2 linked regions of the Rhinolophus ferrumequinum genome follow. The protein of the gene in region 1 purifies or fractionates together with the protein of each later gene. This does not show direct contact. Links are inferred from orthologs where the notes say so. Each region holds a gene or a part of one and is shown in the gene's direction. Other genes may lie near its edges. The genes, in order: NLRX1 and MAVS.

Region 1 (16,467 bases):
GTCTGTCTGAATCTCGCTCTGATTCATACCCTTAAGGCCAGCTTCCAGGTACACAACTCAATGGTGGAGACTTCTCCTTCAGTAGACCTTGAGGACCCCAGCCGGGGGGAAGGGCTCAGGGGTTTTCCCACTCAGTGGGATGGGTGCGCAGTGCGTGGGTCTGTGTGCAGGCTCACCTGATCCAATTTCCTCTCCCCAGGAAGTGGATCCCATTGAAAGCCACACCTTTGCCACCAGTACCCTCACACAGTTCTGCATCCTCTTCAAAAGGACCTTCTTGTCCATCCTCAGGGACACGGTGAGGCATCAAGTTGGGGAAGAGGGAGCTGGCATAGATCTAGCCTTTTGAGGCATAGGATCTCAGCGATAGGAATGGGGATGGGGTCCCTCCCCCAGGAATCCCCCACCCTCCCTCCCAGGGCACCTATGGGTCTATGTGCCTGTGAGGCCAGCTCCAGGTCCCTGCCCCAGTGTGTCTGTCTATCTCTTTTCTGTGACCGGTCCCCTCTCTGCGTGATGACCTCATCACACAGGTCCTAACCCACCTGCGATTTGTGTCCCACGTGGTGATTGGTGTGCTCATTGGTCTCCTCTACCTGCACATCGGCGACGATGCCAGCAAGGTCTTCAACAACACCGGCTGCCTCTTCTTCTCCATGCTGTTCCTCATGTTCGCTGCCCTTATGCCAACTGTGCTCACCTGTGAGCTGAGCTTCCCCGGGCAGGGACCGGGATGCTGGGGCACGGGGTAGGAGCCAGGGTGTCAGCCAGGTATGCCTAATTGGCCTGTGTCCTCAGTCCCTTTAGAGATGGCTGTCTTCATGAGGGAGCATCTCAACTACTGGTACAGCCTCAAAGCGTATTACCTGGCCAAGACCATGGCCGATGTGCCCTTCCAGGTGAGCCTTTTCCTGGCACCTGCCTACTGCCTCCCTCCTGTCTTGCTCCCTCCATCCTTTCTTGCTTGCCTCCCTCAGCCTTGTCACCAGTCATTCTTTCCTTTCTTTCCACTCACTTAGCAAATAGGTACTGAGTACCTACCATGCACCAAGCTATGTACCAAGCACTAGGGACACAGCAGTGAACAAAACAGATATAGTCTTGACCTTATGAAACTTATGTTCTAGTGGAAACAACTGATTGGACAAAGAGAAAATGATGAAAATAATAACCCTACAAATGACTCTGTAAATCTTATTTGAAGCAGTAGAGAATAGTGTAGGCTCTGGAATCTTAGTGCTACTTACTTGTTAGCTGCAAGATGTTGGGCAAGTCACCTAATGTCTCTTTGCTTCAGTGTCCTCATCTATACAATGGAACAACGATAGTATCTACCTTCGGAATGTTTGTGAGAACTAAATGAGTTAATACATTTAAAGTACTTAGAATGGTGCTTGACACATACTAAAGTGCCCAATAAATGTTAGCTGTTTTGGGTTGTTCTTATTGCCACTACCACCCTGTTCCAAGCACTAGGGCCCTTGTGCAAATTAGAAAAAGGTGCTTCTTGCTCAGGGTGGACGTTGCACTGTGCCAGGGTGCATGACTTAGTGAGAAGAGCACAGCTGGATCTCAGCCTCTGGCTGCCGCTTGCTTGGGTATCCTTGTGCAGGGAACAACCTGCACGCCAAACGTAGTAGGCTTGGTCCCTGCCCTCCAGGAGTTGGAGTTGATAGCTCATAGGGGGACAAAACTCATATATAGAGTTAATTAATTAACAATACAAGGAATAAGCTGGTCCATATGGGAAGGGCTTTAGGAGCTCAGAGGATGGAGAATTCACCAGGCTTGCGGTGGTCAGAGTGGGCCTAATGGAGAGGTGAGACTGGAAGATGAATGAGGTTCATATGGCCAGTGAGGAAGGGGACACGTGCACCTGGGGTGGAGGACCGCATGAACAAGAATGTAGAGGCAGGCCTCGGCACGGGCGCTCTAGGAGTAGCTGCTCTAGAGGCTCCTGTCCAGGCACAGTGGGGGTCTTTGTTGTTGTGCCTCTGGCTTGTCGCCCACTGCCCAGGCCTGTGACACTCCCCAGGTGGCGTGCCCAGTTGTGTACTGCAGCATCGTGTACTGGATGACAGGCCAGCCAGCTGAGACCAGCCGCTTCCTGCTCTTCTCAGCCCTGGCCACCGCCACTGCCTTGGTGGCCCAGTCTTTGGGGCTGCTGATTGGAGCTGCCTCCAACTCCCTACAGGTGGGACGGCTGGCGGTGGGGCCTCCGAGAGGGGAGGAAGCAGGGCTGACAGAAGGAGAGGAAGAGATCTGTGGGAACCCTGGGGCTGCCCCAGTCCTGAGTCTGTCCTGGTCACCTCTGTGATGGCCCGGACCCCTTCCCTTCCCCTCCAGGTGGCCACATTTGTGGGCCCAGTTACCGCCATCCCTGTCCTCTTGTTCTCCGGTTTCTTTGTCAGCTTCAAGACCATCCCCACTTACCTGCAATGGAGCTCCTACCTCTCCTACGTCAGGTCAGTGCAGCTTCCCTGGCCATCTGCCCCTGCTCCTCCCTGCAGCAGGCCATGCCCCAGGGATGAGAGAGTTGCATCTGAGTTCTAGCAGTTTACCCAGGGCGCAGTGACCCTCTGCTCTGTATCCTGTTCTGATGCTTCTGCTTGCCTAGGTATGGCTTTGAGGGTGTGATTCTAACCATCTACGGCATGGAGAGAGGACAATTGACCTGCTTAGAGGAGCGCTGCCCTTTCCGGGAGCCAGACAGTATCCTCCGAGCGCTGGATGTGGAGGGTGCCAAGCTCTACATGGACTTCTTGGTCTTGGGCATCTTCTTCCTGGCCCTGCGGCTGTTGGCATACCTTGTGCTCCGGTACCGGGTCAAATCAGAGAGATAGAGATTCACCCTGGCCTGTGCCCCAGCCCCCACAGCAGGAAGCTCCCAGCCCCAGCCCTTTGGGACTGTTTTAACCTTGTCGACTTGGGCACTGGTTGCTGGTACAGCCGCCCTCCCCTCTCTTGGCTCCTTCACAGGCTGACTGTCAGACTGCGCTCCCAGCCGTGGCCCTGGGAGTGGGGGCTCCAGCCCTCTGTGCTGTGCCCAGGAGTCTTCCCAAGTTGATGTGGTTTGTGGCTTTCTCCCTTCTCTCTCCAACATCTGCATGCAAAGACCACTAGGAGGTTATCACCCTCCTTCCTGCCCTCTGCCAACCTCCTCCGTTATCTGCCTAGGAGCCCCAGGCTCTCCAGGCCCCCACATACAACTGACCAAAGTGGCCCCCTCTGGGAGTTCCCACCACACAAGTGTTTGTAAATTGGGCTATTACAAGGTTGGGGTTTCCGGGCTGGGCCCTGGTGGGGTCCCCTGAAAGTCCCATTTGGACATTGCAATGGAGTAGGGGAGGACTCTGGAAGTCTCTCCCTCCTCCTCACCTTCTCCCCACCCCCACACCCTGTCTGATTTGGCCAATCTGCTGGGACAGAAGCTGGGTTTTCTGTCTGGGTCATCCCTTCCAATTCTGGGGATTGGAGAGGCCTGGGGCTGTGGGATGCCCCCTCTCCCTCCCCATCACCTTTTGGTGGGGGTAGGGCCTGGTGGCACCTCTGCAATAATGTCGGTGTTTCTTTCCCACCTGCCACTGGAATTAGAGAATGCACTTTATTCTCGGGGGTGAGTGAGGGAAGAACCAAGCCTCCTTTCTCGCTGCTCCTGCCGCATGGTCCGGTCCTGCAGTGCTCCTTCCCCTCTCTGGGATTACAGGCACATACATGAGAATAAGCAATCTCAGCCCTACACACTCTCACTGTCCCCTGTAGCTCAGAGGAAGAGTGATGGTAGTGGTGGTGGGTGCTGGAGGGGGGCAGTGCTAACCTCCTCCTGGGGGTCCCCGCTTTGACAGTAAGGATTAAGGTGGTACTGCCCAGGGCATCTTCCAGATCTGCAGGTGTCTACTCCCCCCCCCCCCCCGTTTTTGCTCTCTCCCAAACCCGGGGTGGCACAGGGTCCTAGCTCCCTGGAGTTCAGGACCTAACACAAGCACAAGCATGGGCATAAGTTGGCCTTGGCCACTGCCACCCCATGGCCCTTCTTTTGTGTGTTAAGCTGGCATTCTCATTCCTCCACCCCTTCCTCAGCCACTTGCTACTCATTTAAACTCCTGCCCATGTCTCTCTATCCCCTTCCCATCAGCCAAGATGGCCCCTGGGCACGCCCTGGGCAGCATACCCTGGGCACCATGGTGACAAACACACCTGGGGCATGTCTGGCTTTCCTGGTTGGTACACGTCCATTCAACCTCTGATTTCTCCTTCCCCCGGGGCTCTTTTCCACCTTATTCCTGGGCACATACCTCTATACCTTCCCTCTCCGACACAGAGTCTTCCCATCACACTGAATGCCAGTTGTATTTGTGGGATTTCACTCATTATTAATAAAACCTATATTTATACAGTATGAAGTGTGTAAATGTATGTGGGTCTGGCACCTGGTCCCATGGGCTGTGAGGGGCTCTTCAATACACTTGGCAAGAAGTCTGTGAGCTTTAGGGAGCCTGTGGCAGGGGAGGGTAAGTCCTATGAATATGTCAAGCTAGTGCAATTATGTATCATGCTTTACATCTTATAAATGCTTCATGTTTATTAACTAAGGGGAGTGTCATGCCACCCCTGCATTATCCCTCATGACAACCCATTTTGCAGATGAGAGAACTGAGACTTGGGTTGAGTCACTTGTCCAAGCATCCTTAGCTAATGGAGGTGAAACCAAGCTGAAGAGTCTGGAGGCAGAAGTCTTCATTCTTTTTTTTAAAACTTTTATTTATTTTAGGTGTGGTTTTCCAGGACCCATCAGCTCCAAGTCATGTAGTTGTTTCAATCTAGTTGTGGAGGGCGCAGCTCACAGTGGCCCATGAGGGGATCAAACTGGCAACCTTGTTGTTAAGAGCACCGCCCTCTAACCAACTGAGCTAAACCGGCCACCCCAGACTCTTCATTCTTGACATCAGCCACTGACACCGTTCCTGGTGGATCTGCAAGCTGTGTGTATGTGTGTGTCCTGTGTCTGTTCATGGGTGTGTTCTTACCTGAGTGTTACATGACTTTCTCCTCAGAATTCATTAAGCCCTGGTTGTTTCGCATCCAGCACGACGAGGGTTGTGGGGAGCGAGGAGGGCGGCGCAGGGTTAAGAAAAGACAGTAGCCATGAATAGAGTGCAAGTGGAGGCCAAAGGACCAGCAGCCTCTTGGTCTGGGCTGTGGCACCTAATCGGGCCTCGCATCCGCTTTTATTAGTTAGGTGGGGAAGTTAAGGAAATAAAGGTGTCAATCTCAAGATCTGTGAATTCCATACACCATAATAGGAAACTGATTCAAGCCAAGCACCCTTGCCTGCAGGCAGCTGGGCCTTAAGTCTCAACTTCCCCAAGGGACAAAGCCTATATGCGTGTGAATAGATGGAGAGCACACCATTGAATGTCTTCCCCTGCAGGTTGTGGGAAGGAATGCAGCCACAGAGGCTGAGGCTTTTCTTAGCCTGGGGAAGGTGGGGGCTGTGCCCACCTCTATGAACCTGTGGGTTCTCCTGTTGGTCCCCACTCGACTGTGCCTGGCTTTAGTTGTCCCCCACCATTGGGGAATCTTGCTCGTCATTGGCTGACCAGCCATCTTTTTGGGGCCAAACGGAGACATGAGGTGCAAACACAAAGGTTTAGCAAAGTCCCTGAAAGGATCTGTCTCACAGACTCTCCTTTCTTTGGGGGCAAGTACAAGGAAACAAATGGTTAGGCTGCTGCGTGGCGAAAGGTTGTGCCTATGGGGCAGGGGTGTAGGGTGTGGGGTTAGTCATGAAGGGCAATGAGAAGTAGGAAAAACCCTGCAACCTAAGTCCTAGGATGAGAGTGGCAGGGGCCTCCTTAGCTCACCCTAGCTTTCCCCTTTTCTTCCTCTCTTCTTTCCTACCAGGGCCACGATTACCAGGGCCAAGCCATTGGCCACCAGGACTACAGATGGGTCTGGTGCCCTAAAGTTTAGAGTAGGCAATTATCCAGAAGTCCTTGAGGGCTGGTGGCAGGATGATGCAAGAAGCAGCACACTGTCTCACCTTTTTCCCTTCTGATCCTGAAACTTGGAGACTGAAGGAAGGGATTGGCATCAACCTTGCCAGCTGCCTGGAACACTCCAGTTGTGCCACATGCAGAGCTAAGTGCCCTGGACTAGATTAGGGTCCAATCTATGACTGATTGGGTGCTTGTCTGGAGATGGACTAACTTTGTTTCTAATGGTGGTTGGGGATAGGAGTGAGAAGTAGAAAGAAGTCCAGCTCCTGGAATTCTAGCTAGTTTTAGGGGGCATTCTGGGTGCCACCTTCTGCCTGCAGGGATACCAGTATGTGGCTCCTAATGGTGGCACAAAATCCCACCATTAGATGGTCTTTCTTAAGATTCTTCATCTTTACTCTTTCCCTTTTAAAATGCCAACACTATCCTGAAAGACTGAGAATTTATAAATTCACACATTTGTAAGTTCCCTTGGCAGCTAAGGAGATGACCATCCAATCTGGAACTAGCAAGGGCCATTCAGGCACAGAGAACATTTGTAGAGTGGCTCACATATTTTCCAAGAGAGCTCTTTTTATTCTTAGAGCAACCCCATGAGGCTGCAGGATGAGTATTATCATTTCCTCCTTTTACAGAGAAGGAAACCAAAGCTTGGATAAGTTGACTTGAACAAGCTCTCAAGATATGGTGCTCTTGGCACTGTGAAGCACCTGTGATTTCTCCCACCAGTCCCACCAACCTGCAGAGTGGGGTATAAATGCCCCCACCCATCCAAGCAGGTTTTGAAATGGGCCTACTTGGCCTGAGTGCTGACCTTCCTGGACGCAGATCATCTTTTCCAACAGAACCATCTCTGTATCAGGGCCTGTGCAAGGTGTTGGAGGGCAGAGTGACCAAGACTGTTCTCCATGCGATGACTCTACAGCACCTGGCACCCGATCCTGAGGACAAACGACAGAGTACATGCCCACAGCATGACTGACAGTACTTCAGTCTGCAAGAGGCTAGCCAAATTATATGTTATTAATAAAGCTTACATGACTATCATACCTGCTGGGGTTGGGGGTGGGTGGGAGAGGGGAACCTTGCTCTGAGCTGTGTCCGGTAACCGCAGCTGCCTTGCATGACTAGGTAAGTGGGGTGAAGCTATAGGAGTCACCCCAAGCCTAAAATGTCACCCCTGAGACCACATTCATAGGGTTGCTCTATTTTTCTCCTACCATCCCTTTGTACTCCCTTTTCAGAATGTCTCTTAAAATGCAAATTTGCCATTTTCTCTGCTGCCTGGAATGCCTTTCTCTTCCCTGACTTATTTCTTAAAACCCATTTCAAATGTCACCTCCTCTGCCAGAGGCAGTTAGTAACTTCCTCCCCCAGCCTTTCCTAAGCCTTCTGTCTGCCTCTGAAGTACCATCATTTGGGACCCCTGGAGGAGAGCTGATATAGCCAGGTCCCTGAATGCCTTGTTCTGTTTGCTCGATACTATCCAATACCACGTGATCAGTGAATGAACAAATGTATCAGTGAAATACCAATACTGTCTTCAGTCTGAATGGAGGGTAGAGATCACACAGCCCTCTTCCCAGCGCTGCCCCGAGGAACTCTATGCATTCCCTACTGCACACCTCTGCTCAGTCAGTGCACATTGCACACCTATGTTTGCATGTAGGGGCATGCCCTGGCTGTGGATGTGGGTGGCTTCTCCAGCGGCTACATTGGCTGTGGGTGTGCCCTGCATGGAAGCAGAGGGATGTGAGTGGGAGCTTTGAGGACCAGGAAGCCCCAGGGCTAGGCCATAATTGGGTGTCAGACAAGAAGAGCAGGTTGGGGTGGGAGCTGTTTCTCAGCCCCCATCCTTCCTCTTTCCGTGGCCAAAGTGACCAGAAGCAGTACACAGAGGTCTGGGGTATGGAAAGAGCCAGGTACAGAAGGAAGGACCCAAGAAGGCCTTGACTCAGATCTCTGTCAGGAGGTAGGCTGCAGAGTTGAAGAAGCAAGCAGAGAGAAGAATGAATACCTGAGGGACGGTGGGTGCCTCAAGGGGGCCCAGGGTGAGGTAGGAAGACCCAGGCCCAGGATTCCTGTTCTGGTACTTCCGCTTCCTCACTGCATCAACCTGCGAGGGTCATTTCACCTTTCCAAGCTGCAGTTCCTCCATCTGTAAAATGGGCATAACGACAAGCCCCGTTCAGGAGGTGGTCAGCGAGGTAACTGGATGGGACTGGCGTTTGATAACCTGCAGAGGGCAGTCTTAGAGGCGGGGCCCGGCCGACTGGAGGCTGTACGCGCGGGGGGCGGGAGCAATGCAGGAGCGGATGGGGAAGAAGTCCCCACCCCAAGCCTGCTCTACCCGGCCCCCGGGCCCTGTTGCTCTTCCCTTTCTCCTAGGACCCCGAGCGCCTGGGCTCGTCCTTTCCGGTGCCTGCTGCCGGGGTCGGATGCGAGGGCGGCCAGGCAAGAAGCGCCGCGCCGGAGCCTCTGGGAACAAGCGGGAGACGCCGGCGGGCGAGGGACTCCAGGGCTTGGGCAGCCGCGGGTAAAGGCCTAGCCAGCTGGGTCTCCCCTTGTCCCCCGCCGGGCCTGGCAGAGTGGGGACGGGGCAGGGCGGATGGTGGGGGGTGGGGGGTGCGGGGTGCTGCGCAAGTGCTGCTGGGAGTTCGCGGCCTGGGACGAGTAGGACGCAGCTGGTCCGCTGAGTGGTGGTCTTTCTGGCAGGCTCTCCCCTCAGGGTCTGAAGCACAGTGGAGCTAGGAGAGCAGTTTGGGACGCAGTTTGGGGGGAGGAGCGCTGGACAAGTGGGAGCACAGCCCCTGTACGTTTCCTGCTGTGTCTCCTTTTCTCACTGCCCTGGAGACCTGGGGTGAGAATTTGTCTTCACCACCACTCCACCCCTCCGAGAGTCCCATCTTGAGCCAGTGGCTCTGGATCTGATTTCATCACACCGAGCGAATTTCCCCAACCTTTCTCAGCTTTCCATGGCCCTCTCTTTAATCCTTCTCCAGTCCCTAGGACTCCTGCTCTGAGTCCCAGATGGCCCCATCCACTGGTTAGCCCTGGTGGCAGATGGGCCCAGCGCAGCCAGTTCTCCCTAAGTGTGCCCGGCCCCTAAGCACCCAAATTTCTAGAGACTATGTGCCAAATAGCAGCAGCCTCCATTTAAGGGAGCTCAGAGGGATCAGGAAAGACTTCCCAGGAGAGAGGGCCTTTGAGCATGTCTTAAAGGATTGGGTAGGATTCTGACGGGAGAATGGTCATTCCAATCTGAAGAAAGCATATGAACAAAGTTAGGAAAGCACAAGCAAGAATTCAGTGAATCTGGCGAATGAGATGTGGGTCAGGACAAACTCAGAAATAATAGTTTGTGTGAGCCAGCTGTTTGGACTCTACTACATGTAACCTAGGATTTTAGGGGGGTGATTGGTGGCTGGGATGAAGGCTTGGAATGGGATGAGACCAAAGACAGAGGCCAATAAGGAGAAGGGGGTCTCTGGAAGTCTGCAGAGGATCTGAGTTAGCACAGGGACAGACGGGACGCTGCAGTAGGAACAGGCAGGCAACGCCCTGGGAGGAGGAATCAGCCTGTTTCAACTGTGAAGGAGGGAGGAAGAATTGAAGACAGAGGTCAGATTTCTAAACATGTGATTTGGAAGATTTGCAGGGAAGTACCTAAAAGGGGAAAGGAATGATGAGTTCAGTTTTGTATGTGTGAAGCTTGAAGCATGGGCAGGATATTCATATGGAGATATCAAGTAGGAAGTTCATTCATTTATTATTTATGCCAGCCTCAGAGGCAGCTTTTACATAGAAGATAAAATTATAAAAACTGTTAAAACTCAGCTAAAAGGAACTGATAGCTAGGGGAAAATATGCAGAAGGGAGTGGATAATTGTTACTGGAAAATGTTGGCTCAGAAAAGCCACTGAAAATGAACATAGGACTCATCTGAGCTTGCTGGCAGCCAAGCAAAAAAAAAAAAGAGGACACTAAAATAAAGCAGTTCACTAGGCTGGAACTCAGGAGAAAGGCCTTCTTAAAGCCTCAAGGGAAAGGCAATAGGTGGTAGGAGGTAAAATGGGATCCCTCAGGTGGGGGATATGGGAGAAGGAGGACATCTGAAGGCCAGGCCGGGGCGTTGGCACTGTTGACATTTAAGGAAAGTCTGATGCTCTCCTGAGGAGAAAGACCCTTCCTTGGCCTGCCCCGGGAGGTGAGGGTGGGACGCTGGGAGGGTGTGGTCCATTCACACCAATTTTCTTGCAGGGGAATAGGACACGTGGTAGTGTGCCAGGTCCCCTGGGGTCTGACCTCCTCCCTACAATGAGGTGGAGCCGCCCTTTGCCCAGGACCTTATGGGGCCCTGGTCTGGGAAGAGCACTCCAGCCAGCAGGTAAGCAGGAAGCAGGGGTTTCTGTTTCTCCCTCTCCCTTCCTCTTTAGAGCCCAGATGGTGCCTCCAACAGGGCAGGGATCCAGCCACCAGGTGTGCTAGTCTCAACTCTGTGATTCACGAGTTGTTGGCCTTGGGCAGGTTACCTCAGCTCCCTGAGCTTCCTTTTTCCCATCTCAAAATAAGGGAGTCAGGCTAGATGATCTCTTGAGAGTCCCTGTAGCTATGTAAGTCCAGGAATATTTGTCTGATTTCATCTTGCACTCAACAAATATTTTTTGAGTGCCTGCTATGTGCTAGACCCGTGCTAAGTTGTAAGTATAGCACGGTGAACAAAAACAGATGTGATCCTGCTCGCATGATGGGCAGGAAATGAATGTTAATCAGATAATCACACAATAAGATATAAAATTGCATAATAACTGCTACAAAGGGGTGATACATGATGCCATGAGAGCAAATAATGGGGAATTCGATGTAGACATGGGGTCTAGGTATTGGTGGGGAAATCTGGTTGGGATCGCGATGCTATTTCTTCCTCTCCTTTCTCTGTAGATGAACATATCCCCTTCCTGATCCACTGGACTTGGGCCCTTAAAGGGGATTGTACCTTTGGTCCCCATAGGTGAGGCTTTGGTGTCATACCTTAGACCCATCTGGGCATAGCAGAATAGCCTGGGAAGAGTCAGGACTTAGAGAGAGCTTGATCTCCTGGGGAGAGGTTGGTCTTCTAGAGGTGGGGAGGGTATAGAGTCAGCTACCAGGCTTAAGAGGAAGTTGGCTTACATCATCTACAGTACACGTCACAGTGGTTAGCCAGTGGGAGGGTCTGTGGAAAGTGGGTGGAGTCTGGCAGTGACCAGCCTGAGTTCCAGACAGGCAATGGTGGGGGACTGGCGGGCTAGAGGGGAGACCTCGGTCCCTGGGAGGAGTGTGAGAGACAGACAGTCTTGACTTGGGTGTCCAGGGTTGGGTCTGGATCTCAGGAAGCCAGAAGTCCATCAATCCAGACAGGCCTGGACTCTGAGCCTGTGCAGAGGCTGAGCCCAGGAGCCAAGCCCCAGCTCATGTCTTCTCCTTGCTCCCAGGGTCCTTATACGCCACCGTGGAAGCTCAGTGGGCAGTGGTCCCCCATCAGGGAGGCATGAGCAGTTATTCCGGAGCACCTCTGCAGCTGGTAAAGAGATTGGTTCCTCAGTTGTCTGAGAAGAGGGGCTGGCTGGGATCCAGTGAGGGGTGTGGTGGGGAGAGGGGCCTGGAGGGAGAAGCGGGCAGGAAGGAGGAGGCACAGAGGACCCACTGTCATCATCTATTAATGGGCCCACCTTCCCTTTCCCTATCATCCATCTGTCCATGTATCCCTTCCTGCACCACTCATGCAGTGCACGCTATGTCCAAAGCCCTGCGAGGAATGTGCCATCCCTACCTTCAACAAACTGGGTCTAGAAGTCAGGTGAAGATTGCACACAGATACATCTGTGAAACCAGTCAGCCCAGGTTCAGCATCACTCATCCTGTGGCTCCCCACTTTCTGCCTCAGGTGTTCCAGACTTTCTGGACATTGTATTTTCTGAGGGAGACTGGTGTGCCCAGCTCCATTCTGGGCCCCAGCATCTTCTGGTGCTGTCTTAACTCTGCAGCCTGACCCTCCTACCACCCTGACTGGCTCTAAGCTCCTATATCTCCTGGCCCCTTTCTCTGGCCCATTCCCTTTGCCTTCCCATCCAGAAGCCATCCAGCGGCACCGCCGGAACCTGGCCGAGTGGTTCAGCCGGCTACCCAGGGAAGAGCGCCAATTTGGCCCGACCTTTGCACTAGACACCATCCATGTGGATCCTGTGATTCGCGAGAGCACCCCCGATGAGCTGCTTCGCCCACCTTCAGAGCTGGCTCTGGAGCATCAGCTGCCCCCGGCCAGGCTCCCCACACTCGCCCTGTCTCAACTCTTTGACCCAGATGCCTGTGGGCACCGGGTGCAGACAGTGGTTCTGTATGGGACAGTGGGCACAGGCAAGAGCACATTGGTGCGCAAGATGGTCTTGGACTGGTGTTATGGGCGGCTGCCAGCCTTTGAGCTGCTCATCCCCTTCTCCTGTGAGGACCTGTCATCCCTGGGTCCTACCCCAGCCAGCTTGTGCCAACTTGTGGCCCAGCGCTACACACCCCTGAAGGAGATTCTGCCCTTGATGGCCACCACTGGGTCTCGCCTACTCTTTGTGCTCCATGGCTTAGAGCATCTCAACCTTGACTTCCGGCTGGCAGGCACAGGGCTTTGCAGTGATCCTGAGAAGCCAGAGGCACCAGCTGCCATCATAGTCAATCTGCTGCGCAAATACATGCTGCCTGAGGTAGGTAGCCCCCTGCCCCACTGTGCCACCTCTGCCCTGATTTGCCATCTACGGATTTTTGTGTCCTGAGCGTGCATGTTTATTGGGTAGGAATATAGGCCCTGGGCTAGTTCAAACTCTGGCCCCTCCGCTTCTAGATGTGTGTCTTTGAGCAAGTCACTAACTTCCCCAAACTTCTGTTTCCTTCTATCCTTGAATTGTGCTGATGAAGTGAGATAACTGCCTATAAAATGCTTGGCACATTGCCTTGGCTCATAGTAGGCGCTCAGTAGTTGTTAATTGTAATTATTATGGTTTATCATCACCTTCCTCCTTGGACACTCAATCTTCAGGTGTTCCGTGGGGAGTAAGGCAATCAGGATATCATGGTCTTTCTTAACCCTCAACCATGCTCTTCCCAGGCCAGCATTCTGGTGACCACCCGTCCCTCTGCCATTGGCCGCATCCCCAGCAAATATGTGGGCCGCTATGGCGAGATCTGTGGCTTCTCTGATACCAACCTGCAGAAGCTCTATTTCCAGCTACGCCTCAACCAGCCAGACTGTGGGCACAGTGCTGGGGGTGTGGGTGTCTCCGCCACACCAGCTCAGCGTGACAACCTGGTAGAGATGCTCTCTAGGAACCTGGAAGGGCACCACCAGATCGCTGCTGCCTGCTTCCTGCCCTCCTATTGCTGGCTTGTCTGTGCCACCTTGCACTTCCTGCATGCCCCCACGCCAGTCGGACAGACCCTCACAAGCATCTATACCAGCTTCCTGCGTCTAAACTTCAATGGGGAGATGCTGGACAGCACTGACCCCTCTAAGTTGTCCCTGATGGCCTATGCAGCCCGAACCATGGGCAAGTTGGCCTATGAGGGGGTGTCTTCACGCAAGACCTACTTCTCTGAAGAGGATGTCCATGGCTGCCTGGAAGCTGGCATCAGGACAGAAGAGGAGTTTCAGCTGCTGCATGTCTTCCGCCGGGATGCCCTGAGATTTTTTCTGGCCCCATGTGTGGAGCCAGGGCACCTGGGCACCTTCGTGTTTACTGTGCCTGCCATGCAGGAATACCTTGCTGCCCTCTACATTGTTCTAGGTTTGCGTAAGACAACTCTGCAGCGGGTGGGCAAGGAAGTGGCTGAGCTCGTGGGCCGTGTTGGGGAGGACGTCAGCCTGGTCTTGGGCATCGTAGCCAAGCTGCTGCCCCTGCGGGCTCTGCCTCTGCTCTTCAACTTGCTTAAGGTAACATCCCCAGGACCCTAGGCTGTCAGCTCCCTAATCCCCTTGCTCCTCTCCCAGTAGGAAACTGCTACTTCTTCTTGGCTCTGGTTTCAGATTTGGACAATTTGGCTTTTAATAGGATTGGGGCATAAGGAAGGGGGAGAGAGAAGCCACAAGGCTAGGGAAGGCTTGGAGGCTTGGGAAGGGAATTTGAGGGTGCAGGGACTTTAATAATAATCCTACAACCCTGAGATGATTTCCTTTTGCATCTCTCCTCCTAGTTTGTTGCTAAGAGGCAGGAGTCACTATAGTGCAGGGTCTGTCTTCTGCTTTGCAGGTCCTGACTCTCAATTGTATCTGTTCCCCCAGAAGTGATTAGACTCCAGGAGTGATGACTCATCTTAACTAAATCACGAGAGACAGGTTTATAAAGCAGATGCCATTTTATTGATTTATACCAAGACGATAAATGCATTGGTAATTGGCTTAGGACAGTCTGTCCAGGGTGCAGGTCCACTCCAGAAACCAAATTACAGACTTGAGAACTGTGCTGTGAGCAGGCCGGATGTGCTGTTTTTTTGGGGAAGAAGGATCCACTCTCTGCTGATGTCTGCTTGGGGCCTCGTAAATGAAATACCGTAACGATCCCTTTTATAGATGAGGGAGCTGAGGCGCACAGAGGCTAAGGAACTTTTCTAAGGTCACTTAGATAGTTCATAGAATAGCTGGGATCTGAGTCCAGGTTTCATGATGCTGAATCCTGGTTTACTGCTACTTTGTGGATTTTCTGTTAAGCTGTGGTGACTTGCTAGGTAATCCTTGTCCTCTGTAGGAATATTTTAGTAACTGGTCTCGAGAAGGCAGAGCCCTGGTCAGTGCTGACAAAATTTCAACAAGTTTTCCTTTTTATAGGCAGCAAAGCATAAGGGTTAAGAACAGGGATTCAGGGGAGACAACCCAGATGGCGCAGTAGGTAAGCGTTGTGTTTACCTTCTCTCACAACCACACCAAAATTACAGCTAATGTACATAACAACCATTATTGAGAATCGCCTAAAATCAAGTTGAACTGAAGCCTTTCAACTAAGGACATGCAGAAGAAGCCACCTCCAGACTGGTAGGAAGGTCAGAGACGCAGAATGGACTGGCCCCACACTCACGTGGGACCTTTAAAGATCGGGAGGGCTATTTCAGCTATAGGGGTCCCACCCTCACCCCCTAGAGGAGCGAGAGATCCCAGCCCAGGGTTCCAGTGCTGGGGAGAGAAGTCCCCATAAATTTTGGTTGTGAAAACCAGTGGACATTGTGACTTGAGTGCGCTGCACTCTCAGGTGCTCCTCTTAAGGGACTGCGCACGGACTTACCCACCAATGGAATCATGTGCTCTGAGCTCCAGCGCTGGGGCAACAGCTGGAAAGGTGGCAGGGACAGATGGTGGGGAATTGAATTGTCTGGCTTGGCATAGGGGCTGGAGAGGTGGCTTTCTCCTGGACGGAGGAACTGGTGGAAGCCATTGTTTCATTGTTGAGCCCTCCCTCTTCCCAGCATGCCAACACGGGCGGCCGCCATTTTTGAGTCTCCACCATTCATGCCCTGCCAAGGGGATTTGAAACCTGGCCCCGCCCAACTTTCGGGCACACCCAGGCTGCTTTCAGTGGCTTTCTCGTGCAGACTGTCTGCTTTGGCTCAAGCTGCAGACTTTCCTAGGGTTTCTCAAAGTTTCACGGAGCCCAGACAAGCAGCATCTGGCTTGAGTGTGTCCTGTACCTTTGGCTGAGCAGCCCTAAGCTAGCACTAGCGGTAGCTGGCCTTGGTTCGTGGCTTGGCCTCGCAAAACGCTTCCAAGCACAGCATGGTTGCAGACATCTGCAGAATTTCTTTCTGGCTCCTGCTAGGTGGCCCTGGGTGGGGCACAGGCTGTGTCTGAAGTAGACCTACAGTGGATCCCCTCCAAGGTGGTCCTGGGGCTGGCACCCCCAGTGCCCAGCTTCAAAACGAGCTGGAGCATCACCCAGCCGCCTCCAAGTACAATACACACAACGGGCAGATTGGGCAGGCACCAGGGTCCAGCTGAGGCAGATCCTGCTCTGTAGGATCAGCCCCTGCACAACAACCCTTCACTGTAACAAAGGACAGTCCTCACAACCAGTGAGCCCAAAGGTCTGTCCCTCACATTGATGTGCAATTATCAACCAAGGCTCAACTACAAGAGGAGGGCACACACATCCCACACAAGGGACACACCTGGAGCGTGTGGCTCAGGTGACCAGAAAGACTGTGCCACTGAACCCCACAGCACACCTACCACATAAGGCCACTCTACTAATATCAGAAGACATAGCAGCTCTACCTACTACATAGAAACAAACACAGGGAGGCAGCCAAAATGGGGAGACAAAGAAACATGTCCCAAGTAAAAGAACAGAACAAAGCTCCAGAAAAAGAACTAAGTGAAATGGAGATAAACAATCTATCAGACGCAGAGTTCCAAACACTGATTATAACAGTGCTCAGTGATCTCAGGGAGAACTTC
Region 2 (16,350 bases), on another chromosome or scaffold:
CTTTTGTAATTTCCTTCCTTTTTAAATGTCAGCCACAAATGACAATGAATCAGAGACTGGGTCACCAAAAAAAATTACGGATATTTTCATATCACCATAGAGTTGATGCAGATACCTCAGATTATCATTTATGCATGACAGTACTTAAATATTTATTTACTGAAACAAACATTTACTAGTTTAATAATTGTATTTCAAGTTTTTTTGTTCTTGTTTTGTTGTGGTTGTTGTTGTTTTGTAACCCTATGTACCTTTAAATGCATTTAAAAACATTGTTCTGGCCTGTGGACTTTACTACACAGGGAATCACTGGTCTGACCTAGGTTAAGCACCCATGCTTTAAAGAAACAGAACAGCCCCATGTATGAAACTTTCGTGTTTTGGCCTGTAAAGGCTATTCTGCAGGCAGGTACCCACCTGGTCCCCCCAAAAGCAAGCCACAAGCCAGAAATGTGCACAAAACTTCCCCAGTGCTTTTTATTGCCTCATTCTTAACGTGAACAAAGTTCACCAGACATTTGGAGGAAGCCTGCCACACAAAAAGAGAAACTAAATAAGCAAACAGCAAACAATGGTTTCAGAGGAAAACCATGCAGGGGACATAAGAAAATTCTTTTTTTTTTAAATTTTTATTGGGGAATTTTGGGGAACAGTGTGCTTCTTCAGGGCCCATCAGCTCCAAATCATTGTCCTTCAATCTAGTTGTGGAGGGCACAGCTCAGCTCTAAGTCCAGTAGCCGTTTCAATTCTTAGTTGCAAGGGGCGCAGCCCACCATCTCATGTGGGAATTGAACCGGCAACCTTGTTGTTGTTGAGAGCTCACGCTCTAACCAACTGAGCCATTGGCCACCCTTCTAGAAGCTCAGCGGCAGCTCATTGTCTTCAGTCTAGTTGTGGAGGGCGCAGCTCACTGGCCCATGTGAGAATCGAATTGGCAACCCTGTTGTACAGAGCTTGCCTCAAGAGAATTATTTTTAAAAAGGCTCTCTTAATTACTATTCTCAGTAATTAGATTCAGGACGGTATCACATCCATAAAGCAAAGAGAGGAACAACAGAACAAGAACAAATTCTCAGAAAATAAAAATATTGCTTACATTAGAAATGAATTAGAAGATTTGGAAAATAAGGAACCCAGGAAACAGGACAAAATGAAGGAACAGAAAAGGTAAGACACAGAAACTCTTGTTGCTTTGCACAAAAAAGTAATAGGGTGCTTGGGATTTGCTGGATGGTTCTGGGAGTGGGAGGTATGGTGGGTGCTATGGGCTAGTGTGATAGATTGCCCTGACTTTTCATCCCACCCTTTTATTCACACCCTTGCAATGTGGCTCTACATCACCTTCTGGAAGAGGTGGAGTCTGGAAAATGCCTTGAACAGTAGTTTTATTCTCAAGTGGATTCAGAAATGTGATTTAAATAGAATGCGTTGGTATAGAAAAAACTCTACCCTTGGCTTCAGCAACAGTGTAGTGTGACAGTAGAAGAAACATCTTGTGAGATGCTTACATTCTTAATAATTGACTTTTTAAAGAGTTTTAATTATTAAGACCTCTGGCAATAGTCTTAATAATCTTAAAGATTTAAATGGTATAAAAATAGATGAGTTTCAGGCCTGCCTGGTGGCTCAGGTTGTTGGAACACCGAAATCCTAACACGGAGGTCGCAGGTTCGATTCTCACATGGGTCAGTGAGCTGCGCCCTCTACAGCTAAGATTGTGAACAACAGCTCTCCCTGGAGCTGGACTGCTTGGAGCTGGGCTGCCCTGAGCACCCGGAGGTTAGCTTGAGCTGCCGTGTGCTGCTGTGGGGCCTGCTGTGTGCTTCCATGGGTGGCCGGCAGCCATCGTGAGCGGCAGGCAGCCAGCCAGCCAGCGAGAGCTGCCGTGAGCTGCTGTGAGCGGCCGACCCATGACTGGAAACCGACTGCCTCTGTCGGCGAGGAGCGCAAGGCTCATACCAGCATGGGCCAGGGAGCTACGTCCTACACAACTAGACTGAGAAACGACTGCTTGAACCGGAGTGGGGGGTGGAGAGTGGTGGAAGAAAGGGGGAATAAAAAACAGATGAGTTTCATATAGACTTCTTACCCCTTTTTGACTAAAGTTTTTCACCCTCCTCACAGATTTCTGTAACATAAATAAAATAACTGAATAATTGCAACAATAACAAAAACTGAGTAAAATATTTTGTTTTGCTTTGTCTTTTTTCCTGATCTGTTTGAGCTCATGTTTATTTGGTTTTATAGGAAGGTCATATACTTTCTTCTGATTCTCTATTAAAGAAAGCTGAAGTGGGTAAAGAAGGAAAGATACTAGAGAGAAGACAGTATGTATTATCCGATTCCATTTGTCTTAAATTCAAAAACAGGTAAAACTAAACTATGTTGATGAAATCAGAATAATGATTGGGGATGGAGATTGATAAAGAAAGATTACAAGGGAACTTTCTGGGGAGACGGAAAACAATCCAGATCTTGATCTAGTTACACAGGTATTTACTTGGATAAAAATTAATCAAATTGCACACTTAAGATTGATGTGTTTTATGGTATGTAAATTATGCTTCAAGAAACAAAACTCTTCCATGCACAAAATACCTACAGTGGTTTCTGTTTTTTTGCACCGAGCTCCAGATACTAGGGGAGGGGCCCCACAGCAAGAGACACCAAGAGGGGCACCAGCAGTATGGTAGGAAGCTGGGGCCGTGGAGTGAGGTGGCCAGGGAAAAGTCTCCTGCGTTGGGGGAGGTCTGTGAATTTTAGGAACTCTGATACCTTACTTTGAAGGTAAACGCTGACCATGTGCTCATTTCCCTGTTTCCTGCCAACCCCCCATTTCAATGTCTATTGCCAAGTAACTCATGTCAGTGGTTCTCAGGCAGGAATAGCAGGATGGCAGCCCCTGAATGGCAGGTGACCAGCAACACAATGCCCTGAGGCTGATGAGGAGTCCATGCTGACCACAGGGGCTGGACAGCCCTGGGGAACCGGATGCAGCAGGGACTGACCCACCATCTGACATGGTCCAAGTCCCCTCGTTCTGAGACCCCTGAGAAGTAAGGGCTCATACCAGACTCCGTTATGTCCCATATCATGGCTTGAATCATCTCATGTGTCTGGTCAAGGCAAGGGGAACTCTGAGAAGCCAGAGGACTCAGAGGCCTTGCTTTATAGAAAAGAAAATACTGGAGAAAAGACACCAGAGTGTCACCAGCAGTTTCTCTTGGATGGTGGCATTATGAGTACGGATTTTTATTTTCTTTATTAAACATGTTTATTCCCCCCATATTAACTATATAAGCATATATTAATTTCCCCCAGCTTTATTGAGCATATTTTTTTTGTAATAAAACTGACAGTATGAAAATATAAAATAGTTTAAAGAATAACAGTTTAAAAACTTATTTGCAATGAGGTTGTAAAGGCAGGGTTTATATTTTGTTTTTCAGGCTTGGAGAGGTCTGAAGGGAGTCAGATATGAGAACATATCCCTTCGTGGGGCCCTCAGGCACTATCTTTGAGTCTGACTTTGCTCTCTGGAGGGAAATGTGAGCTGGCGATTGCTGAGTCATCACATGTGAACCACATGAGCCACAGCCCTCTTTGAGCACTGGCCTGGAGACACTGGCCACCTGGGGATGAACTTTACCAGGGAGGCGGTCTCCAAAGCCCTCACCCGGGGGTGCAGGTGGCCTGGCATATAGATTGCTCTCCAGACTCGCCCTTCCATTAATAAATGGACAATGATCAGTGAATTCTACTCATGAAATAGGGTGGGATGCAATCCCAGAAAATTAATACTGATAGAATATTATTAACTAATCCAAAAGCCTTAGTAAGGCTCATTTGTCCCACTGATGTCTTCTTCTGTTTCAGAGTCCAACACAGGATCCCACACTGCTTTCAATTGTTATACCTTTTTATTCTCCTTTAATCTAGGATAGCTCCTCAGTCTTTCCTTGTCTTTTATGGCCTTGACATTATAGATCAGCGCTATCCAATACAACTTTTTTTATTTTACTGCAAAGAAAATTTTATATATCACTAGTCATGAATTTTTGTCATTAGTTATTACATAAATGTGCCATTATCCAAGTGGCATGACCATTTTATGTCCACGATTCACTTCTGTGTTCACAAAATTTTCATGATTTATGTAAGTACACATCTATCAGTGAAGATTTAACATTGAGATGCAATCTAGCATCCATAATATCTGATGTTTTTCAGATAGCAATGTAGAAGAGATGTATTTTTAATCACTTTTTCATTTGAGTCACCTTATGTAAAAAAACTAATTTAGATGTTCTAAGTCTCTAACGGAGGTTTTCCAATGCACTCATAGGAATGGTTACAGACAGTTAAGATTTTCAGAAACAACTTTCATGTCACATCCTGTTGTAATTTCTGTACCATTTTGTTTTCCAGATGCTTTCCTTGGCATGCAAAAGGGGCCGAATGAGATGAATGTTTTGCTTGACTTCTTTAATGTCCTGAACTTTCTGTAGTTCTTTATTTTTCTTCAACCTGTTCATTACAAATTTCACTTGGCATTTCTGTTTGCGCTCTTCATTGTATCAATAGTTTTATTCCACAACTTTCGCTGGTACTTGACAGGTTCATTTCTGCTTTACAGAATGCTTTAGTCCACCTGAACGTGTGAGGATTGTGCTTCTTCTTCTTCTTCTTCTTTTTTAAAGATTTTATTGGGGAAGGGGAACAGGACTTTATTGGGGAACAGTGTGTACTTCCAGGACTTTTTTTCCAAGTCAAGTTATTGTCCTTTCAATCTTAGTTGTGGAGGGTGTCGTTCAGCTTCAAATTGTTGTCCTTTCAGTCTTAGTTGGGGAGGGTGCAGCTCAGCTCCAGGTCCAGTTGCTGTTGCTAGTTGCAGGGGGCGCAGCCCACTATCCCTTGCAGGAGTTGAACTGGCAACCTTGTGGTTGAGAGCCCACTGGCCCATGTGGGAATTGAACTGGCAGACTTCAGAGTTAGACGCATGGAGCTCCAACTGCCTGAGCCACCGGGCCAGCCCAGATTGTGCTTCTTTTTAAAGTTTTTATGACACTTGGATTTACAGAATCTGAACACCTTGCAATCCTTGTGGACAAACATCAGGCAGTGGCCGGGATATATGGGTCCCTACCAGAAATAACATGTCTCCATACTCATGTTGAACATGCCAGGGGGACCCACCACCCAAATGCCAAGCTTGAAAGGCCAATACAACTTTTTTTTTTAAAAAAAAGCTCTCCAAAAGAACTTTCTGCCATGATAGAAATGCTCTGCATCTGTGCTGTCCAATATGATAGCCAGTAGCTACATGAAAAATGACATTTAAAATGTGGCTAGTGGGGTTGAAGAACTGAATCTTATATTCTACTTAATTAAAATAATAGTCACATGTGGTAGATGGCTGCTGCATTGGACAGGACAGCTGTTGAATGCCCCTCATTTTGAGTTTGTTTGATGTTTCCTCTTGACTATGAGTTTTAGCAGGTATACCATAGATGTGAGGTTGTGCCCTCCTTTGGTTTCCTGATAAAGGTGACAGGAAACCAAGTAGGTCAGAATTTTTATTGTGGCAAAATATACATAAAATTTACAATTTTAACCATTTCAAGTGTACAGTTCTGTGGCATTAAGTACATTTGTTGTGCATTCATTACCACCGTCCATCCACAGAACTTTTTCATTGTCCTCAACTGAAACTCTACCCGTTCGATACCAATTCTCTATTCTCCATTGCAACCACCATTCTACTTTCTATCTTTATGAATTTGACTACTCTAGGTACCTCATATACTCGTAAGTAGAATCATTTAGTATTTTTCCTTTTGTGACTGGCTTATTTCACTTAGCATAATGTCTTCAAAGTTCATCCGTGTTATAGCATGTGTTTGAATTTCCTTCCCTTTTAAGGGCTGAATGATATTCCATTGTATGTATATAGCATATTTTGTTTATCCTTTCATTCATTGATAGACATTTGGGTTGCTTCTACCTTTTGACTGTTGTGAATATGCTACTATGCACATGAATGTACAAATATCTGTTCCAGTCTCTGCTTTCAGTTCTTTGGGTATGTATCCAGGAGTGGAATTGCTGGATCGGATGTAGTTCTAGTTCTAATTTTTTAAGGAACCACCATATTGTTTTCCACAGCAGTCTCACCATTTTGCATTCCCACCAGCAATGTACAAGGGTTCCAATTTCTCCACATCCTTGCCAAACACTTGTTATTTTCTGGTTGTTTTAATAATAGCCACCCCAATGGTTGATACCTATAGACTGAATGTTTTTGTCCCCCGAACCCCACAATTCATATATTGAAACCTAATCCCCAACGTAGTGGTATTTAGAGGTGGGGGTCTTTGGGAGGTGATTAGGTCATAAGGGTGAAGCCTTTATCAGTGGAATTAGTGCTCTTCTAAAGACCCCAGAGAGCTACCTTGCTTCTTCTGCCATGTGAGGATTATGTCTATGAACCAGAAAGTGGGCCCTTATCAGACACCAAATCCGTCAGCATCTTGATCTTGGACTTCCCAACTTTCCAGAACTCAGAAATAAATGTTTGTTGATTAAGCCACCCAGTCTATGGATTTTTGTTATAGCAGCTCAAATGGACTAAGACAGTATCTCATTGTGTTTTTGAGGAAGCTGTATTTTTTTTTTTTAATGCCCTATGAAGTCCAACAAAAACAGGGTGGCAACTACATTTAGAAGCAATTCACTGCACTTCCAACACTCTTCCTGCAAGAATCAGATATGAGGTCACTGGATTTGGGGTGGGTAGCAGGCAGGAGTAATTCTTGAACCAATTAATGTTAACGCTGTCTTGGCTAAACAAGGCAGATGTGGCTTTATTACAGTTAGTTGAGTTCAGGTGTAATATTAACATTTTGTAAATACTGAATGTTGTGAAATATCCACAAGGTTTCCAAGTAATCAATTATCATCTGAAAAAGCATCCCTCCTACAATTCAGTTTGGGAGCTCTGGCTTTGGAGACAGGCATGTATTCAGGCATTTGCATGTGATCTAGGCCAAACCTCTTAACCTCTCAGATGTCTTTCCTTTTAAAGTTGCAGTAACAATCTTAAGTGTACAGCTGATGCATTTTTACGTATGCACAAGCCCATGTACCCAACACTCATATCAAGACACAGGATATTTCCATCCCACCGGAAGGCTCCCTTGTACCCCACCCCTCAACATCCCTAGAGGTAGCTAGTGATAATGATTTCTATTTATGTAGATGAGTTTTGCCTGTTTTCAACCCTTACCTTGTGACTTGGAACAGACAGCATGAACTTTCTGTGCTTGGCTTGGTTAGCCATGGTGCCCATTCATACTGGTGAGATTCAGGCAAGTTGTGTGTATCAATAGCTTATTCTTTTTTACTGTTGTATATTATTCCATGGTGTGAGCACACCAGAGTTTGTCTCTCCATTCTCCTGCTGATGGACCCTTGGGTTGTTTCCAGAGTGTGCCTATTGTGAATAAAGTTACTATGAACATTATCTATTGTGAGTGTTTCTAGGTGGATGTATAGGTAGGAGTGGTTGCTGAGTGAGACGGCTGGCATGTTTAAACTTTAGTAAGAATAGCCAAACCTTTCCCCAAAGCTTTAAGTCTCTCTTTAAAACAGAAAAAATAAACTTCTATCTCATTATTATGAGAGCATTTAAAGAGCCCTAAGATAGGAACTTGAAGCCTGTACCTGGAACACAGGGGGCCCTCAGTAATTGCCAGCTTCTGCCCCTGTGAGTGTCCTGTGCCCCATCAGAGGAAGGACAGGCGGCTGGCAAGCACTGCGGGAAGTCACCCGCCCCTTACCTTTGGGTGGAGAGGCCTTTCTCACACAGCACTCATGGCCCACACTGAGGGAGCCAGGTAAGCAGCCTTGGTACCTACGCCCTGCACTCGGATCCTGCTTTCTCAGGCCCAGCACGCGCGTCGCCTGGCTGGGCACTCATCTGGCTGGGCACTCACCTGGCTGGGCACGTTTGTTGAGTACTGTGTGCTAGACCCTGGGCTTCCAAGAGCAAACCACATAAAGCCTCTCCCCCCTAAAATCACTGGGCAGGAGGAGGGATTGCTTTGTGTAGAAAGTTTGGGAACTCAACAGGGCACAGACTCGGAGGTCTGGAGCCCACTTGGTTTTTAACTAGACCCTGGACTTCCCCTGAAAGCTGCCTGAGACGAACAGGGAAAGACAATAATTTGCTCCTTTGCTCCCCTGCAGGAACGTAGGTCCGCCCGGAGCGTCCTGGCCTCTAAATCTAGGCCTAGTGCCACCCGCAGTCTCCCAGCGGCCTGCGCGGACCGCGAAGCCCGGCCCCCGCCGTGCGACCAATGGCCCCGCCCTGGCGGGGGAGGGTTCTGGCGGCCGGTGGCAGTCGGGGCTGTCCGCAGGTCGCCGCGTCGTGGCTACCCGAGGTAAGATCGCAGCCCACGCGCCTGGTCCTCTGGGCTCAGGGCGTACAGACGCCTTTCGGGGAGGTGGCCCGCGGCGTCAGGAGCCAAATGGGACTTGGAATCCGCCAGAGTTCAGGAGGTCCGGGGCGCGCGGGAGGCCGGGGAGGGGACAGGGTGCGCGGGGCTCGGGAAGAGAGAGTCCTAAGGCACTTGGAGTTTGGGACAGCGAGGGCACCCAGGGGGTCGGGAAGTGGGGGGCAAGGAGCGTCTGCTTGGGCTGCGGGGGAAGGTTGGAAAGGAAGGAAACGGGCGCCGGCCGCTGAGGCCCTCCCGCTGCCCTGCTCAGGCCCAGGGTGACCCCCGGGCAAGGCCTAGCTCTAGTGCGCCAACCTCCTGTGGCCTTGGCCGTGCCTCGGGGTGGAGGTTACCGCCCTCCCCTAGGTTTTGACAGTTTTCGGTGGTGACACCTGCTCAGAAGAACAGCCTCCCTGTCCTCCGTGGACCTCGGTCTATGGGGCTGTGAGGCCTCGCCTTTCCCGCGTGGGTGGATATTCATCAAGAGCACTCAGACCCCTGGGACAGTCGGGTCGGAAACTCCTCGCCGAGTGGATCCGGAACCTTCGCTGCCCATCTCTGAGATCGGAAAGAGGTGCCAGGAAAACATTGAAAAAAACAACAACAAACCCCAAAATCCCAAACGACATTCCCCGTATAGATGCTGTGGAGCCTCAAAAACATCTGGAAGGAGAGTCAGCGACCTGAGAACCGCGCTGCTGTGGAGGGCACGGTTCGGTTCAGGACTAAATGTTGCATCCTCCCAGGTGCACCCTCACCCAGTGACCCCCCTCACTCAGATGGTGACCTTGGCCCTTTCCTGAACTTGAAGGCAGGGGTTGTTTGAGTTTCACTTGCTGCAGGGGCTTCTATGACCTGCAAAGTGTATGGTGAGCTGCAGTGAGACATCAAGTCCTGGGTTCAAATCCTGTCAGGGCCACTGGTCAGCTGTGCACCTTGGCATCACTTCTCTCATGAATTTGTGGCAAGGATTAAATGAGAGAAACTTATTTAATAAGTTTCTGCCTATAGTGGATCCTCAATAAATGTGAACAACTATGGGCTTCTTTTCTTTTTGGTGGGATCATATCATAACCCATTGCCCCCCAAACTCTGTGCCTTAAGGGCTGAGGCTGGGATGCAGAAAAATGTTATCACCTGACTCTCTCCTGATGCCTCCCTGGATGCCATGGGAGGGAAGGAGAAAAGGGTCTTTAGCTACCACAGTTATTCTTTGCTCATCTCCTGAAATCTCCCAGGAACCCCGGCCCTCCCTCCCTAATCCTCTTGACCTCTATCATTAGCACTTGTCCCAGTAGGAATGTAGCATCTGGTGGTTGGCAAAGCAAGTCATGCAACTTGAAGCTGTGAAGCCAGGAGACAGGACTGCTGCCCGGTTTCCCATTTGGCAAGAGACTGGCGGCCTCAGCAGCTTTTGGGCATTCTGCAGCGCTGTCTCCTAGAGGTCTCACTCAAGCCTGACCCCTCGTTTCTACTCTAGCCTGGCCCTCTCTGTGCCCCCTTCCCTCCCTGAAAACCCACTTGGACATTCAATAGCATTTCAAGCTTCACTTATTCAAAATGGAGCTCTGGAGTTCCCTGTGCACCTCTGCTCCTCCCCTGGATTCTCTGACTGGCTAAATAGCACCATCCATCCACCCAGCGCCCAAAGAGTCATCCTTGATTTTTCTCCTTTCCTCACCTCCCAAACCCACAAAACACCAGGAATCCAACCACCTCTCTCTCTCCACCACTGGTTACCACCCCAGCCGTACATTTGTCTGTGCCCTGCTGTGGCCTCCTGACTTGTTTCCTTGTTTCTATCCTGGCGTCTCCATAGTCCAAGGTCCTCACAATCACCAGAGAGGTCTTTAACATAGATCCTCTCCCTCCCCTCCCTGTTCAGAACCCTCCAAATGAAACCCAACACCCTTTCCTGTAACACTCTTTGTAACAGCTCCTCCCAACTTTCTTGATCTCCACCCCTCCCCCTAGCTTTCTAAACCTGGACCACAGCGACCTGCTTTCTATTCTTCAGACGCGCTGAGACCTGCTTTCTATTCTTCAGACACGCTGAGCTGGTTTCCACTTTAGGACTTCTCACTAGTGCCTCTGCCTGAAACACCGAACGAACGGCACAACTCAAATGCAGCCAATTCAGGAAGTCTTCCCTGACCATCCCAGTGCAAGCAGCACGCCCTTCTCCAGGGCTTCTGTTTCGTTACCCCGCTTTGTTTTCTTGGTAATGTTTATTACTCTCTGGGATTCTTATTTATGTATGTGTTTACTGATTTGTTATCTGTCCCACCCCAGTAGAATATAAACTGGATGATGGCAGAAATCTCATTTCTCTTATTCCCTGCAGCTCTCCCCAGAGGGGAGGCAAATAAACAACACACAAACAAATGCATGTACTTGCAAATTGTAAGTGCTCCATAAGCAACTGGCGGTACTTGCTTGTATTTGAGGCGCTTATAAATTTCAAGCTCATCAGGCCGAACTACTGTATTGTCAAAACAAGCTCCCTGACCCATTGTAGGGGTGAGGACAAGCCTGGAAAAGACGGGTAACTTGCCCCAGGTCAATAGTGAGTTCAGGACAGTGGAACTCAGCCTCCTACCCTAAGAACGTGTATGTAGCAAACTGCTTTCATGGTGGCCCTGCAGTCGTGTTCTGGAAAGAATCTGATCCTGAATCCTGAAGACCTCAGTTCTTTGCTCTTGCACTAACAAGCAAGCCCCCTTTATTTCTTAATACTTCATTTCCTTCACCATTAAAGTAGGATGGATCCTGTTATTATGTTGGGCTTCTTTTTTTTCCTAGTGTACCTCAAAGAAGCAGCACTTCTAAGTGGAGTCTTCTTGCTGTGAGTGGCTAGGGGCACATACAGGTCTGAGGACAATGGTGGGAAGCCAGACCCCCCCCAATACTGAACAACTTGCAGGGCAGAAATGGGCCCTAAGACTTCTGGGTCTGATTTTTCTTTTTTTTCGGTCATCAATTTGTTTTTAAGCAAATTCCTCGAGGGCCTCTGGGACTCAGGCAACCATGAACTACGTTGATTAAAGAGAAAAGCCAAAATTCCAGAGACCAGAAAGAACTGCCTTTTGCCCAACCCCACTCCCAACCCGGTTGCCATGTGTGATCTGTTTTCTTCCAGTCATTTATCCTCTGTCTCAGTCCATCCATGGGCCAGAGCCCTCGGTCACTACAGAGCCTGAACAGTGATGACGTTTGCCGAGGACAAGACTTTCCAGTATATCCGCTATCATTACCGAAATTTTGACCGTATTCATGTTCTGGAGATTCTGCCTCACCTGTCTTGCCTCACACCAAGTGACCAGGTGAGCCAGGGCATGTCAGGTAGCCAGACTGGGGGCAGGGCTGTGGAATTCAGAGCTTCACCGAAGCCAGAGCCGACTCCTTCCTTCCATCTTGTCTGTATCCCACTTCCTGCCCTGGTGGCTTCTCTCACTTTCAGAATTATGGTTCAGGGTAGCCTATCCAACTTTCCTGAGCTCCCTCTGGTGTCGTTTTGATGTAATGCTCAACAATATGGCGCTGGCTGCCTGAGGTTTCCAGGCTCCGGGCCCCTCACCCACTTCTATTGGCACCTTCTTTTTCTTCATCTCTCTTGTCCTTGTTCCGACTCAGTTTTTATTTCATTCTCCTTGTTGTGAGACCCTGTCCTGGTAGGGATCCCAGGGCTCAGTTTTGAGAGTGTATGGGTGCCAGACCACCCCAAGCCGCCTCAGAACTTGCTGTGGGCACCTCGTGAAGCCAGCCAGACCCTTCCCAGTTTTTGCTGTTCGCAGATTGAACCCCTCTGTTCTCTGCTTCCTCCCCACATATGCTGGTAGCATGTGGGTCTGTGGCTGATGGGGTTTGGCCCCTTCCCCTTATATTTTGGGGTTTATAGGGATACCTCAACACCTTGTTCTTCAGTAAATACCGGGAGTGCCGAAAAGATTACACACATGACTTGTATTCATCTTTTGTTATCAGTATATATTGAGTATTAGAATTTTAATACAGTTTTTTTCCTTTCTTAAAATGTGTATACGTTTTTTTGGCACCCTCTGTATTTTCTGTGGGTTTTGTTTCTGCTATCTGGTTGCTTGTTTGTATGCAGGGATTCAGGTAGATTTAAAAGCTCTGCAACTATTTCATTGTCTCAGAATCTCCCCAGTCCCTCATCCTCCCTGTTTCTTTCTTTCTTTCTTTTTTTTTTTTTTAACCTTTATTTATTTTAAGTGTGTTTTTCCAGGACCCATGAGCTCCAAGTCAAGTAGTTGTTTCAATCTAGTTGTGGAGGGCGCAGCTCACAGTGGCCCATGTGGGGATCGAACAGGCAACCTTGTTGTTAAGAGCACAGCGCTCTAACCAACTGAGCTAACCGGCCACCCCGCTCCCTGTTTCTTATAGTTGACCCCCTCTCTTTTCTTTTATATCTCCCTCATCTACTGTTTCCTACATACCTTTTTCTCTTTTGCCAATCCAAACCCTTTCTTTCGCCTTGGGGGCAAACCCTAGGCTTTGGCATCAGACTAACTGGGTTCGGATTCCTGCCCCACTGCTGTAGGATCTTTGCTGCCTTACTTCTGCGAAGCCGCAGTTTCCCCATCAGCAGAGTAGGAGTAATAGTTGCATTAAATAAGATAATTCACACAAAACCCTGAGCAAGAGAGCCTGGGACACAGTAAGAGCCTCTTTCCTGATAGCTAGCTGCCTTTAAACTTGGATTCAAACCCTAGCCTTGTCCTGGGCTCTGACCCAGTTTCAGGCGGCTGCCTCCTCTTGGTGCCCCTCCTGAGTGGGGAAGGGGCCAGGGCCACCTGGCTTGAGCAAGGAGATGGGCTGTGTCTTCCAGGACCTACTGCGGGCCTGCTACGACCGCAGAGGGAACCAGAACACCATCTGGGAACTCTTCAACAGCCTTCAGCGCCGGACTGGCTGGGTGGAATACCTCATCCGGGGACTGAAGGCTTGTGAGCTGGTTGGTCTCGCTGACGAAGTGGCCCATGTCTACCAGAGCAACCTGCCCTGTAAGCCTCCTGCCCTGGCCCTCCTCTTGGAACCCTTGTCTGTTCCCCTAGCCTCCCCTCTCCTTGTCCCCTTGCCCTTGTATCTCCTCCCTTCCTCTGTCACCCTCCCTCCCATCACTCCTGGGCAGTAGACAAACCTGACTATACATCCCAGCGTAGCTACTTAATAGCTGTGTCCCTTTGCCAGGTCCCTTAATTTCCCTGAGCCTCAGTCTTCTCTGCAAAACAGGGCTCATGGCAACATCTACCTCACAGGGCTGCGGTGGATACCACGGGACGCTGGCATGTCAAGTACTCAGCAAATGGAGCCTCCTCTCATTTCTGTGTCTGTGACGTTTGCCTCCCATTCCTTTTCTCACTTCCTCCTCAGTTCACCTTTTCTCTCTCCACTGCTCTCTCCTTTTTCTCTCCCTTCACTGTCTCCTTTTTCATTCCCATGGGTTTCTTCCTTCCTTTCCCTTTGTCTCTTCCACTCCCCTGGTTTTCCTTAAAGCCTTCTAGGTTCTCCACCCCAGCTCCCCAGTTACCCCTCAGCTTCCCTCAATGCTCCCTGCCAGGCCAAGTGCCCAGAGGGGGATTTTGTGAGGTCAAGGTCTGAGGGGCTGAGACAGGAAGAAAACTCAAACCAGCTTTATTTATATTTCAGAATAGAGACAACTCCTGAGGCCCTGCCTAGAGATACAGCCTTAGAACATTCCCTGCTTGTCTTCTTTTATCTCTACCTTCCTTCCTTCCCTCCCTCCCTCCCTTCTTTCCAAACTTGTCTCTTCACTTGGAGATTAACAGTGATCCCCTGAATACAAACGGCTGTGGTGGGGGCAAAGGAGAAGGGCTGAGGTGGCAGGATCAGGTCAGGGGTCAGTTAGTGGTGACAGACACTCACAAGGAGGAGGAGAAAGCCACTGGGTCTCAGAACACCCAGGGACAGAAGTGGTGACTGCTGAGCTAGTCTGGATGGTGAGAGGCCAGTGAGGCACCCCTCCCCCTTCGCTCTGCCTTCCTCTTTTTGTCCTTCCCTCAGTGAAGCTTGTCTCCTCTGAGGAGTACATCTCATATCAGGACAGCTTTTGGAGCTGTGGGGGGCCAATAGCCATGGCCCTGGGGGTACAAGAGCACCGAGGCCTCTCTTATCACTGGGAACCCCCCTGATTCCTCCTTGGCTTCACTATATCTTTGTTTTCCAGTGAACCAGAAATGCCCTCCTGCCCCACTGGAGTCACCGTCAGTTCCTGCTGAGGTTCCAGGGCGCTCCACACCTGCTGTGGCCCCCAGTGCCTCCAACAACAGCGACAGAGACGAGGATCCAAGTTACCCCATGCCTGTTCAAGACACCCAGTCACCAGAGTCCCTGGGGGAGGTGCGTCCTCATAATCGACCCTGTATTCTCTGTTGCTGTCTGCCCACTTCTGCTCACCGAATCGTCCAGAAGCCCCTTCCTGCCCCCGACAAATCGTACCTAATCTCTGCTCAGAACCCCAGGGCTCCCCCAGTGAGGCTCTTTCTCAGTCTGTTGATCAGAGCTGCCCCCTGTGGCAGCCCCAGCCCTCTTGTCAACCAGCTGTGAGGTCACAGCTTGAGGTCTTTGCAATGGTGCATGTGAGATGTTGACCAGATGGGGGGGGTGATGGAGCAGGAGGTGATGGGCTTGCGGGTGGGTGGTGGAGCTGTATTTATTGCCAGGAAAGTGAAGTTTGGGGGAAAGATGACTGATTCTAGTGGTGGGATATGATGAGTTGGCAGTGATTGTGCGGAGACTCCAAACCATGGACTTGAAGCCCAAGAAAGGGGTCTGTGCAATGACCTTAGAGAAGGGCACCTTTCTATAGGGCCAGACAGATGGTTAGGGACTCTCCAGGGGATGGTGTGCGTGTTTTCTATGAGGTAGGTTCAAAGTCACCTGTAGTCAGAGGATATGACAATGACCAAAGCCAAGGCAAGGGCGTCCTTGTTTCCTGTGCTCCACGGTGTCGGCTCAGGCCTACAGAAGCTGCCCCACAAGTATAAGCTGCCCTTTGCCAGCTCCTGGGAGAAGCATCTGCCTTATCCACATTTTCCCTCTTGCAGAGCTCAAAGAAGGCCCCACAGACATCCAGCTCTGGGGCTATACTGAGCAGGCCCGGTGGCCCCGTGGAGCCCTCCTCTGACATGGCAGCCCTCAGTCCTCTGACCTCCAGTGGGCCTTCGGAGCAGGACACAGAACTGGGCAGTACCCACACAGCAGGTATGTGTGAATCTGGAGTTATAGGGCCTCTCTGACCTCTCAGTGAGGGTGAGGACTAGAGTTGCCCCTCTGGCTTCCTTGAACAGGAGGCAAGGGTGGGAATAAAGGGAGTTCAGCCCATAGAGCAGCCCAATTCCTTAAAAAGTGTATCGGTTAGTATTTGCTGTGTTAACAAACGTCCCCCAAAATTTAGTAGCTTAAACTATGATTATTAATTTGGCTCATGATTCTGTGGGTCAGTAATTTGGGCTGGTTCCGCTGGATACTTCTTCAGATCTTGGCTGAAATCCCTCTTGTGTACACTACTGTACCTATAAGCTTTGCTGATGGCTATTGGTTGGGCACCTTAGTTCTCTTCCATGAGTCTGTCATCCTCCAGCAGACAAACCCGTTTCTTGGCAGCTGAGCAGAGTTCTGAGGAAGGGAAGGTTCCTAGGGCATAGGTGGAGTGAGTGTTCCTCCTGCCTTACTCTGTGGGCCAAAGCAAGGCACAAAGCCAGCCCAGAGTCAAGGAGGAGGGAAACAGATTCCATCCCTCAGTGAGAGAGCTGACAAAGTAACATTGCAGAGGCCGTGGATACAGGTAGAAGAAGAGAATTGGGCCACTGCT

What was found.
Region 2: the proteins of NLRX1 (region 1) and MAVS purify together in Homo sapiens (affinity purification with western blotting; 4 studies listed by BioGRID and IntAct, with this or other methods). This does not show direct contact. The link is inferred for Rhinolophus ferrumequinum from reciprocal best matches to the Homo sapiens genes NLRX1 and MAVS.

The regions. Positions count from the first base shown.
Region 1 is NC_046294.1:88,412,862-88,429,328, forward strand, and holds the start of NLRX1 (NLR family member X1), read left to right. Parts: upstream 1-8,074; 5' UTR 8,075-8,214; coding exon 8,215-8,535; intron 8,536-10,261; exon of another isoform or gene 10,262-10,316; coding exon of another isoform or gene 10,317-10,386; intron 10,387-10,435; coding exon 10,436-10,478; intron 10,479-10,940; coding exon 10,941-11,010; intron 11,011-11,473; coding exon 11,474-11,562; intron 11,563-12,113; coding exon 12,114-12,733; intron 12,734-13,134; coding exon 13,135-13,956; intron 13,957-16,467. Other genes in the region: ABCG4 (ATP-binding cassette sub-family G member 4), read left to right, coding at 200-298, 534-702, 799-899, 2,036-2,194, 2,347-2,465, 2,618-2,818, 2,980-3,067.
Region 2 is NC_046306.1:25,766,276-25,782,625, forward strand, and holds the start of MAVS (mitochondrial antiviral-signaling protein), read left to right. Parts: upstream 1-8,342; 5' UTR 8,343-8,441; intron 8,442-10,469; exon of another isoform or gene 10,470-10,716; intron 10,717-11,634; 5' UTR 11,635-11,701; coding exon 11,702-11,818; intron 11,819-13,344; coding exon 13,345-13,519; intron 13,520-14,703; coding exon 14,704-14,876; intron 14,877-15,583; coding exon 15,584-15,740; intron 15,741-16,350.